2 linked regions of the Saccharomyces cerevisiae S288C genome follow. Changing the gene in region 2 together with the main gene of any one other region gives a genetic interaction. Each region holds a gene or a part of one and is shown on either strand. Other genes may lie near its edges. The genes, in order: KEI1 and DIE2.

Evidence for each region.
Region 1: mutations in DIE2 (region 2) and KEI1 together harm fitness more than expected from each alone (negative genetic interaction), as found in Saccharomyces cerevisiae (one large-scale study listed by BioGRID).

What each region holds. Positions count from the first base shown.
Region 1 is NC_001136.10:1,207,837-1,217,514, forward strand, and holds KEI1 (Kei1p), read left to right. Parts: upstream 1-5,011; coding exon 5,012-5,041; intron 5,042-5,142; coding exon 5,143-5,778; downstream 5,779-9,678. Other genes in the region: YDR365W-A (gag protein), read left to right, coding at 1-483; MOR1 (Mor1p), read right to left, coding at 4,602-5,000; trifunctional aldehyde reductase/carbonyl reductase (NADPH)/glucose 1-dehydrogenase (NADP(+)) YPR1, read left to right, coding at 6,068-7,006; XRS2 (Xrs2p), read right to left, coding at 7,180-9,678. UniProt on the Saccharomyces cerevisiae protein: Regulatory component of the inositol phosphorylceramide (ICP) synthase which catalyzes the addition of a phosphorylinositol group onto ceramide to form inositol phosphorylceramide, an essential step in sphingolipid biosynthesis.
Region 2 is NC_001139.9:945,420-949,019, reverse strand, and holds DIE2 (dolichyl-P-Glc:Glc(2)Man(9)GlcNAc(2)-PP-dolichol alpha-1,2- glucosyltransferase), read right to left. Parts: upstream 1,601-3,600; coding exon 23-1,600; downstream 1-22. Other genes in the region: AMA1 (Ama1p), read right to left, coding at 2,001-2,599, 2,693-3,600.

The sequences.
Region 1 (9,678 bases), on a different chromosome or scaffold from region 2:
ACACCTGCAGATGCATTTGAAACAAAAGTCACAAACATTATCGACAGACTGAACAATAATGGCATTCATATCAATAACAAGGTCGCATGCCAATTAATTATGAGAGGTCTATCTGGCGAATATAAATTTTTACGCTACACACGTCATCGACATCTAAATATGACAGTCGCTGAACTGTTCTTAGATATCCATGCTATTTATGAAGAACAACAGGGATCGAGAAACAGCAAACCTAATTACAGGAGAAATCTGAGTGATGAGAAGAATGATTCTCGCAGCTATACGAATACAACCAAACCCAAAGTTATAGCTCGGAATCCTCAAAAAACAAATAATTCGAAATCGAAAACAGCCAGGGCTCACAATGTATCCACATCTAATAACTCTCCCAGCACGGACAACGATTCCATCAGTAAATCAACTACTGAACCGATTCAATTGAACAATAAGCACGACCTTCACCTTAGGCCAGGAACTTACTGAATCTACGGTAAATCACACTAATCATTCTGATGATGAACTCCCTGGACACCTCCTTCTCGATTCAGGAGCATCACGAACCCTTATAAGATCTGCTCATCACATACACTCAGCATCATCTAATCCTGACATAAACGTAGTTGATGCTCAAAAAAGAAATATACCAATTAACGCTATTGGTGACCTACAATTTCACTTCCAGGACAACACCAAAACATCAATAAAGGTATTGCACACTCCTAACATAGCCTATGACTTACTCAGTTTGAATGAATTGGCTGCAGTAGATATCACAGCATGCTTTACCAAAAACGTCTTAGAACGATCTGACGGCACTGTACTTGCACCTATCGTACAATATGGAGACTTTTACTGGGTATCTAAAAGGTACTTGCTTCCATCAAATATCTCCGTACCCACCATCAATAATGTCCATACAAGTGAAAGTACACGCAAATATCCTTATCCTTTCATTCATCGAATGCTTGCGCATGCCAATGCACAGACAATTCGATACTCACTTAAAAATAACACCATCACGTATTTTAACGAATCAGATGTCGACTGGTCTAGTGCTATTGACTATCAATGTCCTGATTGTTTAATCGGCAAAAGCACCAAACACAGACATATCAAAGGTTCACGACTAAAATACCAAAATTCATACGAACCCTTTCAATACCTACATACTGACATATTTGGTCCAGTTCACAACCTACCAAATAGTGCACCATCCTATTTCATCTCATTTACTGATGAGACAACAAAATTCCGTTGGGTTTATCCATTACACGACCGTCGCGAGGACTCTATCCTCGATGTTTTTACTACGATACTAGCTTTTATTAAGAACCAGTTTCAGGCCAGTGTCTTGGTTATACAAATGGACCGTGGTTCTGAGTATACTAACAGAACTCTCCATAAATTCCTTGAAAAAAATGGTATAACTCCATGCTATACAACCACAGCGGATTCCCGAGCACATGGAGTCGCTGAACGGCTAAACCGTACCTTATTAGATGACTGCCGTACTCAACTGCAATGTAGTGGTTTACCGAACTATTTATGGTTCTCTGCAATCGAATTTTCTACTATTGTGAGAAATTCACTAGCTTCACCTAAAAGCAAAAAATCTGCAAGACAACATGCTGGCTTGGCAGGACTTGATATCAGTACTTTGTTACCTTTCGGTCAACCTGTTATCGTCAATGATCACAACCCTAACTCCAAAATACATCCTCGTGGCATCCCAGGCTACGCTCTACATCCGTCTCGAAACTCTTATGGATATATCATCTATCTTCCATCCTTAAAGAAGACAGTAGATACAACTAACTATGTTATTCTTCAGGGCAAGGAATCCAGATTAGATCAATTCAATTACGACGCACTCACTTTCGATGAAGACTTAAACCGTTTAACTGCTTCATATCATTCGTTCATTGCGTCAAATGAGATCCAAGAATCCAATGATCTTAACATAGAATCTGACCATGACTTCCAATCCGACATTGAACTACATCCTGAGCAACCGAGAAATGTCCTTTCAAAAGCTGTGAGTCCAACCGATTCCACACCTCCGTCAACTCATACTGAAGATTCGAAACGTGTTTCTAAAACCAATATTCGCGCACCCAGAGAAGTTGACCCCAACATATCTGAATCTAATATTCTTCCATCAAAGAAGAGATCTAGCACCCCCCAAATTTCCAATATCGAGAGTACCGGTTCGGGTGGTATGCATAAATTAAATGTTCCTTTACTTGCTCCCATGTCCCAATCTAACACACATGAGTCGTCGCACGCCAGTAAATCTAAAGATTTCAGACACTCAGACTCGTACAGTGAAAATGAGACTAATCATACAAACGTACCAATATCCAGTACGGGTGGTACCAACAACAAAACTGTTCCGCAGATAAGTGACCAAGAGACTGAGAAAAGGATTATACACCGTTCACCTTCAATCGATGCTTCTCCACCGGAAAATAATTCATCGCACAATATTGTTCCTATCAAAACGCCAACTACTGTTTCTGAACAGAATACCGAGGAATCTATCATCGCTGATCTCCCACTCCCTGATCTACCTCCAGAATCTCCTACCGAATTCCCTGACCCATTTAAAGAACTCCCACCGATAAATTCTCGTCAAACTAATTCCAGTTTGGGTGGTATTGGTGACTCTAATGCCTATACTACTATCAACAGTAAGAAAAGATCATTAGAAGATAATGAAACTGAAATTAAGGTATCACGAGACACATGGAATACTAAGAATATGCGTAGTTTAGAACCTCCGAGATCGAAGAAACGAATTCACCTGATTGCAGCTGTAAAAGCAGTAAAATCAATCAAACCAATACGGACAACCTTACGATACGATGAGGCAATCACCTATAATAAAGATATTAAAGAAAAAGAAAAATATATCGAGGCATACCACAAAGAAGTCAATCAACTGTTGAAGATGAAAACTTGGGACACTGACGAATATTATGACAGAAAAGAAATAGACCCTAAAAGAGTAATAAACTCAATGTTTATCTTCAACAAGAAACGTGACGGTACTCATAAAGCTAGATTTGTTGCAAGAGGTGATATTCAGCATCCTGACACTTACGACTCAGGCATGCAATCCAATACCGTACATCACTATGCATTAATGACATCCCTGTCACTTGCATTAGACAATAACTACTATATTACACAATTAGACATATCTTCGGCATATTTGTATGCAGACATCAAAGAAGAATTATACATAAGACCTCCACCACATTTAGGAATGAATGATAAGTTGATACGTTTGAAGAAATCACTTTATGGATTGAAACAAAGTGGAGCGAACTGGTACGAAACTATCAAATCATACCTGATACAACAATGTGGTATGGAAGAAGTTCGTGGATGGTCATGCGTATTTAAAAACAGTCAAGTGACAATTTGTTTATTCGTAGATGATATGGTATTGTTTAGCAAAAATCTAAATTCAAACAAAAGAATTATAGAGAAGCTTAAGATGCAATACGACACCAAGATTATAAATCTAGGCGAAAGTGATGAGGAAATTCAATATGACATACTTGGCTTAGAAATCAAATATCAAAGAGGTAAATACATGAAATTAGGTATGGAAAACTCATTAACTGAGAAAATACCCAAATTAAACGTACCTTTGAATCCAAAAGGAAGAAAACTTAGCGCTCCAGGTCAACCAGGTCTTTATATAGACCAGGATGAACTAGAAATAGATGAAGATGAATACAAAGAGAAGGTACATGAAATGCAAAAGTTGATTGGTCTAGCTTCATATGTTGGATATAAATTTAGATTTGACTTACTATACTACATCAACACACTTGCTCAACATATACTATTCCCCTCTAGGCAAGTTTTAGACATGACATATGAGTTAATACAATTCATGTGGGACACTAGAGATAAACAATTAATATGGCACAAAAACAAACCTACCAAGCCAGATAATAAACTAGTCGCAATAAGCGATGCTTCATATGGTAACCAACCATATTACAAGTCACAAATTGGTAACATTTTCCTACTCAACGGAAAAGTGATTGGAGGAAAGTCGACAAAGGCTTCGTTAACATGCACTTCAACTACAGAAGCAGAAATACACGCAGTCAGTGAAGCTATACCGCTATTGAATAACCTCAGTCACCTTGTGCAAGAACTTAACAAGAAACCAATTATTAAAGGCTTACTTACTGATAGTAGATCAACGATCAGTATAATTAAGTCTACAAATGAAGAGAAATTTAGAAACAGATTTTTTGGCACAAAGGCAATGAGACTTAGAGATGAAGTATCAGGTAATAATTTATACGTATACTACATCGAGACCAAGAAGAACATTGCTGATGTGATGACAAAACCTCTTCCGATAAAAACATTTAAACTATTAACTAACAAATGGATTCATTAGATCTATTACATTATGGGTGGTATGTTGGAATAGAAATCAACTATCATCTACTAACTAGTATTTACATTACTAGTATATTATCATATACGGTGTTAGAAGATGACGCAAATGATGAGAAATAGTCATCTAAATTAGTGGAAGCTGAAACGCAAGGATTGATAATGTAATAGGATCAATGAATATAAACATATAAAATGATGATAATAATATTTATAGAATTGTGTAGAATTGCAGATTCCCTTTTATGGATTCCTAAATCCTTGAGGAGAACTTCTAGTATATTCTGTATACCTAATATTATAGCCTTTATCAACAATGGAATCCCAACAATTATCTCAACATTCACATATTTCTCAAAGCATATATGTAGTATATATACATATACATATATATATTTATATAGGTTTGGGAACCTATGTTTTTTATTGTACCAAACGCATCCCTCTTCAATAATCTTCGAAAAAAAAGTGCACAACAAGCGGGAAAATCTGTGTAAAGCTGTATAAGTGATCTGTACAAAAACTACGAAGAAAAGAAATAATACCAGGGAGGAACTACCAATTGTAACCATTAACCTTAGTTATGAGATCATCTCTTCTAACCCTTCCAAAAGTATGTTTCCGGCAAACGCTATAAATTTTTGTTAACTTGTAAGGATTCGAAGCAAAGCACAATTTTACTAACCTGTTCTCAAACATATTTTTTTTTCATAGTCTTTTTTGGGGTTTATGCCGCTATACCTTGCAGTTGAGATTGTCTTAGGTATTTCCATTCTAAACAAATGCAGTGGTGCTTATGGTATTTTAGCATTGTTCACGGGTCATCCGTTGGATTTTATGCAATGGATAGCATATCTTTGGTCGGTATTTACATTAATCGTATTCTCACAAGGGCTGTATTTGATTCATAAGCCAAACTTGCTGGTATTTTCGCAAATCTGCGTACTTTATACAATCGATACCATTTCCACTTGTTTTTTTACTCTATGGTTTACCACGCAATGGTTCACCTTGGAAGACACTGCTAATATTGATGGAAATAATGCACTACAAAGTAACCCAATATCGACAGGTAAGCTGACAGAACGTGGTATTGATATAAGTAAACAAAGTGCAACTGAAAGCTACGAATATACCATGACTATTTTAATTACGTTGGTGTCATTGATATTCAGGTTCTACTTTAACTTCATTTTGGCATCTTTTGTTCAAGAATTGTTACACCACCCCAAATATTTAGTTGATAGGGATGACGTAGAACAAAACTTGAAAAACAAGCCTATTTGGAAAAGACTGTGGGCTAAGAGCCAAAAAGGTTGTTATAAGCTATGTAAGAATTTGTTAGAGTAAATAGTAAAATAAAGCCCTAGCGTTATAGCGTTTTACACTGATGAAGAAATGTTTCTATTCTGACATCATAAAATCATTCTCACTGATGCTATTGTCACTTTTCATCACGTGTGTATTTAAGTAGCTCTTACGTAATTTTGAAAAAAAAGGAAAAAGGAAACTATATAGCACGCAATTCCCTATTTGGTTGCAATTCAATTCCGTGAAACCCTTTTCTTTTCTAAAGTGATAATAAAGTAACTTTGCAATATAATCAGGTCGCAAATATACCCACAGATAATAATCTACCATGCCTGCTACGTTAAAGAATTCTTCTGCTACATTAAAACTAAATACTGGTGCCTCCATTCCAGTGTTGGGTTTCGGCACTTGGCGTTCCGTTGACAATAACGGTTACCATTCTGTAATTGCAGCTTTGAAAGCTGGATACAGACACATTGATGCTGCGGCTATCTATTTGAATGAAGAAGAAGTTGGCAGGGCTATTAAAGATTCCGGAGTCCCTCGTGAGGAAATTTTTATTACTACTAAGCTTTGGGGTACGGAACAACGTGATCCGGAAGCTGCTCTAAACAAGTCTTTGAAAAGACTAGGCTTGGATTATGTTGACCTATATCTGATGCATTGGCCAGTGCCTTTGAAAACCGACAGAGTTACTGATGGTAACGTTCTGTGCATTCCAACATTAGAAGATGGCACTGTTGACATCGATACTAAGGAATGGAATTTTATCAAGACGTGGGAGTTGATGCAAGAGTTGCCAAAGACGGGCAAAACTAAAGCCGTTGGTGTCTCTAATTTTTCTATTAACAACATTAAAGAATTATTAGAATCTCCAAATAACAAGGTGGTACCAGCTACTAATCAAATTGAAATTCATCCATTGCTACCACAAGACGAATTGATTGCCTTTTGTAAGGAAAAGGGTATTGTTGTTGAAGCCTACTCACCATTTGGGAGTGCTAATGCTCCTTTACTAAAAGAGCAAGCAATTATTGATATGGCTAAAAAGCACGGCGTTGAGCCAGCACAGCTTATTATCAGTTGGAGTATTCAAAGAGGCTACGTTGTTCTGGCCAAATCGGTTAATCCTGAAAGAATTGTATCCAATTTTAAGATTTTCACTCTGCCTGAGGATGATTTCAAGACTATTAGTAACCTATCCAAAGTGCATGGTACAAAGAGAGTCGTTGATATGAAGTGGGGATCCTTCCCAATTTTCCAATGAGCGCGCTACATTACAGTTAATGCCTCCAGCAACCTGTAGTGCTTCTTTAAACCGATCCGATACAGCTGAAACAAACATTGATTTTACTAATTTTCATATAATATATACACATATATCGAATGATAATGCAAAATATAATTTAATGAAATTGGAAATACTCGGAAAATTTATCATTATCCTTTTCTTCTTTTGAACGTAAACTTCGGACCGTCGTCATCGTCGTCGTCGCCATCACCGTTATTAGAAGCCCCAAAAGAGCCACGTGATCTACTAGTTGCGCTTCTACTGTGTCTACTTTGCTTGGAACATTCTTCTGACAAGTTTGGCCGTAAGTTCATTTCCTTCACCACAAAAAGATTACGATTATTTTCTCTGTGATTTAGTCTATCGCTTTTATCATCAATATCACCCAGATCATCTTCATCAGTAATAAAAATTTTGTTTTTTAGTGGTTGAACGCTGGCTGCAGTACCTGAACAACGAGAAAAAGAAAACGAATCTTCTTCTCCTTCATTTGAACTATCCTCATTCGTGAATCTGTTTAGAGCTTGAGATCTTTTCTGGATAGTGTTTGAGTTTATATTATCGGACATAAATGTATTCGATCCAAATCTTTCCATCTCCGTCAAAGCAAACATATCTTCGTTTTCTTCTGTGCCCCATTTTGTAGTTGTATCCTTTTTGGAGTATTTTTTTAACGGAACATAATTTCTAGTGATTAAAAAGGCTGCATTTCGTATAAAATCTGAGCTTTGAGTGTTATTTTTACCCTCTTCTTTGTGCGCCTTTGATTTTGGACGTACCTTGACAAAAGTCTTGAAATTCTTGCGTTTATGCCATTCTGGCTCCATTAGGCTATTTTCCCATTTTTCAGTTGTTCTGCTTGTTTTGTTTCCCTCACTATCAAATGATTTCCTCAGTAAATTGTTACTAGGTTCTACAATAGCCAAATTTTTTAGCTGATTAATAGCTTCCTCGCTCAACTCCTCATCCTTCAATTCAACAATGGTTGACTTAACTCTTTTGACCTCTCTATTTTTAGTTTCTTGAATAGCTTCAACAAATGCGTGCGGCGTACCAGATTTCTCTTTAATAGATAACTCTTTTACAGGTGACTTACAATTTTCTTGTAATGGAGATGAAATTTCTCGTGAATAATTAGAAAGTTTACGGATGTTTTTAGAGGGTTGCTCTATATTCTGGTGATGATTCACCCTAAAATTCTTAGTAACTTCAGCATCATCCATCGAATTCACAGCAGCTGTTTCATAGTCAGCGGAGTTCGAAGATATGGTTTGAGAGCCAATCCCTGCTACCTCCGGCAATGACGGCTGTGGTAACTTATGTGACTGTAGCGACTTATCCAACGAATCCTCACTCGTGTTCACAGTACCTAAGTTGGGGCTACTGACAATTATAGCACCAGGGCTACTGTGACCACTTTTCTTTCCAATATCTTCAGTCGGCTTTAGTGCGTTTTGAAGAAATGGGGCGTGCTTTTCATCTGCCTCTGCAATGTTGGGACTTGAAATGACAGTCTTTGATTCTGCGCCACAATTAAGTCTCTTAGCGTCAGTTAAAGACCTATTTTCTGATAGAGTCTTAGTACTCAAACCTCCAGCAAAAAAATCAAGACTATCGAGTGGTAGTACTCTACGTCTATTTAATTTTCGCTTCTTCGAGACTACTGGACTAGCTTCAACTTCAGGTGCACGAGATGTTTTCAAAATAGTAGACATTCCTTCAGAAATTTGATCAAATTTACCGTTATCTAGAGTTCTTGAAGATGCACCCTTCATATTAATCACTGCGCTTAAGGTGCCATCTATTATTGATGTTAACATCGTTTTGATAGTACATAGAATTTTCCCATTTTCTTTCTTATCTGTAGTTGTCAAAATCAGGTATTCTGTTGATGCTTCCAAGCTGTCAACATATTTATATAAACTATCAATGTTGTCAAATGCAAATAAATTTATATTGAACGTCCGCAGGAGAGATGATAGACGTGGTTCACTTTTGATAGTAGTTAACACTCTGATATTATTCAGCCTCATAAACTTCGAAAGCAAAATATTTGGATCAAAATCAAAAACATTGTACTCCGGATTACTAATCATATCGTTCCACATTTCATCAAATTTTAAATTAGTTTTAGATGTGGGAAGAAGAGTATTACACAATTCCATCAGAAACCGTGATTTTTTCATGGGTATAGTACTAACAAGGGCATACAATTCCCGTATGCTGTTGTCCTCGCTCTTTGGGTAATCGCTAATCATCAGATTAGCGGGAATATCATTAATAGAAATCTCAGTGGAGATACCATATTCAGAAAGCATCGTCCTGAATTGTGTCAAATGAGGAGGAATGTTCCAGACTTCATTTATCCATTCGAACTCTATACGAATAGGAGTTGTACCCAGTTCAATTATTGTGGACTTTAAAACGTCCGAGGCATTAATAGTAAATGTTTCGCCAACTTTCATGAATTTTTTATTTAATGATGTCAATTTACCCTTGTTAACTAAACACAGGCTACTGTGTTTCAGATCCGAACTATTATTGATTTCCCATTTGAATGTGATATGCTGTCTGGAAATACTTTTATCATTTTTAATTATCAGTGGGTTTTTACTTGATCTACCTATACTATAAGTTTTGAAGGCCTG
Region 2 (3,600 bases):
TTGCAACTATAATCAATTCTGTTCACCATATTATTCTTTGCAAATAGGGCTCAGTGGTCCAAGGAAATGAGACCTTGGAAAAGATAACTAAAGTAACGACATTGAAGAGCATGAACCATAAAAATTCCATGAACAGTCTTTTCGTACTGCTTATGGTAATTGGGTTTTCGCCTTCTTTAGCAGGTTTTAAATCCTTTATCAAAGGTTCGCAGCTGCAGGTAATAAATATTCTCCAAAAGAAATAGGGCAATATATAGTAACGAGGTTCGAATAAGGGTGATGGAACGATAGTTACCATGGTGCACGTTATTAAGGCCGTCCACGATACATGTGTCAGTTGTATGGGTAAATGTACAGGTTCTTTGATGGGGAGTGGAGTGATGGGGTGAAAGGTGAGCTGGTTGGGTCTCATCACTTCAAGGTATGCGAAAGTGGAGAAATGATAGATTGGTGTCATAAAAAAGTACTTGATTAGTCTACTTTTGTTGCCTATCAATCTTCTGAAGAGGTAGAACGTGTAGTGTCTATTATCTGCTAACAAAAATGGGTGAACTTTTGTAAAGTATCTTATGATTAGCATAATACCAATAAATTCAAAAAAAGTTTGTACTGGCTTCCGTTTTATTCTTAATTTGTACAACTTCATAAAATTACGAGATATCCATATAGGTAAACTGAAAACGGTGATGAATGTGAAACAATAGAATATTTGTACTATATGCAGGCCTGCTGAGTGGCTGGACTTATCACCTAGTGTTATGGATCTGTTCCAAATCAGATAAATGAAGAACAAAACAAAATTTATCATATAGGGCAGAACAAGGTTGGAGAAATCGTCAATAGCATGAATGAATAATTTCAAATAGTTATTGAACGTATGCGTGTTGAACTGTTTTTGTAAAATGGCTGGGCGTTCAACAGCAAGAATCATTATAAATCCCGTCCAAATGATATTCGTTTGTCTGAAGAGACAGCTTACACCAGCAAAAAAAGCACTCAACCATATACTCTTCACGGGGCCAAACGGTAATGTTAACACGCAGCTGAGTGATTGCAATATCAGAATTGTAGACCACACATCGGTGTAAAATAAGTAATAATAAGTTGTCATCAATGGGAAGCTCATTAATGAAACGGGCCAAAAACCTAAGGCATTAAAAAGGAATATTGGCCTGAGTACTAAAATGGGGAAAACGATAATCCCTCCAAGTAAATTAACTAATCTTAGTATGGTTAGTGTGCTCCACGACTTGAATATGGGCTTTATACAATAATAATTAATTAAACCCAAAATATAGATTCCAGGGGGGGTTGTTATTTTAGGGTCCCATTGAGTCCATTTACCTTTTAAATAGGTCAAAGTTTGGCCAACGTGAAACTTTTCATCTATAAATTCATAAGGTACAATATTTGTAGTCATGTAACGGAAAGTTAAGACAAAATATATTAGAAGAAGAGGATATATTACTACATTACAGAAGATACCGGTAATGACTTCTTGTGTTAAGTTTCTCGCTATACCTGGTGCAATCAACTGAATCGCTGCTTCCTCTTCCAATACATCATTATTGGCTTCACCAGTATTTTTCTTTGCATCCATTATAAGTTCGATGTGACTGGGCTCGGTGTACCTGGGATATTGACCACTTAAACAGCTCTTTGTATTCTGGTTTTTCTCTGTCTCTATATTTTTTTGAGCATCATCTAACGTTGCTGGGTTTCATTTCGTTTTATTATCTTAATTTTCCAGGACCCTTCGCTGTTTCAGGCCGATCGGAATTAAAAACGTCACAAATCAGCCAACTAAATAGGTGCAGTGCGGAAGTGTTAAAATATAATTGTTTAATATGGCACGTCGCCTCATTCAAACTCATATGGTTTCCTTTTTTTTTCCCTATTATTTTTTTATGTATACGTATGTATAGTTTTATATATTCTTACTGTTAGTTTGCTATTTGAAGTATTTGGTTTGTGCGTGCAATGAATATCCTTTTTTTATATTACCTTATTCTTTTGTTATGTGTTGTTTCGATACCCTCCATATATTCTATAATATTAGATCCATAAATCCCACTCTCTTGAATTTCATTAATTATTTCCTCCTTATCGTTCCACAGTTCATAAAATCTTATCGTTTCATCGTTAGTGGCAACGCAAATTGCCATGGAACTTGGAGAGATTACTGCGCTCAGTACACGCAAAGGGTTGGGCGACCTAACTTCGAGTAGTTTTGATAATTTTGGATATGAGTATAGTGTTATTAATACAGGATTCTTGGTATCACCGAATCCAAAAGTAGCAACAATCTGTTTATGTCTCAACGACCATATCAAAGACGTCACCTGTCCCGAGGTGCAAATCTCATCCAACAATGTGCCTGTCGATGTATGCCAAAACTTAATACATCTGTCTTTGCTTCCACCACCCGTAGCCAACAAAGACTTCGACCAAGGACAAAAGGCAATGGCCTTCACAGCCGCTTTATGTGGAAGAACAAACTTTTTAATAGGTTTATCCAAGTCGGAAATATCCCATAAGCTACAAGAATTATCATTGCCGCCGACTGCAAGCAGGTTTGCATGTTCATTCAGAGAAATACCTGTAGAAAATATTTGTTAGTATTTTTCATAATGAAAAAATAAGCGCTATACCAGAAAAGGGTATGTGAAAGCATAAGCTCTTAATAACGTACCACAGACTTGCTGTGCCTGAGCTTGATAAGTGGAATGAAGTTTCAATCCTATTAAATTTTCATCTTCGAGTTTTTGTCTTTTACTCCAGTTTTTTATGGGGAAATGCAAACTCTTTATTTCAAAGAGGCTCACATTGCCATTTTCCTCTCCAACATAAAATTTGCAAATTTCACCTGGTTTGAACCATTCTAGGCAACATATTCCTTTGAAGGATTCAGTTTGGAAAACAAATACTGGTTCCTTTTCGTTTGTGTTGCTGGAATGAAAAAATTCTTTTTGATCATAAAGAAGAATACGGCCAAATTTTGTACCAACAATAAAATAAGTATTGTAAGGACAGAATGAGACGCATGTCACTAAATCCCTCTTTTCACTTAAGTATTGATGGTCCAATATAGATACCGCTCCTTCTTTCTCAGACCAGATGTATACGGAGCAACCCAGTCCCACCAAAACGTTGTTTGTGGTTCTTGACCAAGAAATTAAGTTCGAATAAAAATCATTTCTCAGGCAAGGTGCATCCAATACACGGTATGGAATATGTGACTTTACTCGTTTAGCAGGTCTTTGGATTTGTCTTTGTGGGGAAGCTGATCTTGCGTTAGAATTAGCGATATAATAACGGGCAACATCGGGCGAGAGTGTACTAAAGTCAAAGGTTGATCTTATTTCGGCGCAACTTCCTGGTCCAAAGCAATTTTTGATGGCTTTATTCTTTTCCAGAATTTCAGCACTTGTGGTCTCAAACGTAAAGACACGGTCGGGCAATTGAAAACCAAGAGAATGTGCAATATTCTTTCTATGGTCCTTTTGCTCTTTAGTTAATTTTGAATAATCGTTTCTTGAAGCTCTTGCACTTCCACTTCTGGTAACTTGACTCTCAGAAGAGCTAGAGATACTTGACATG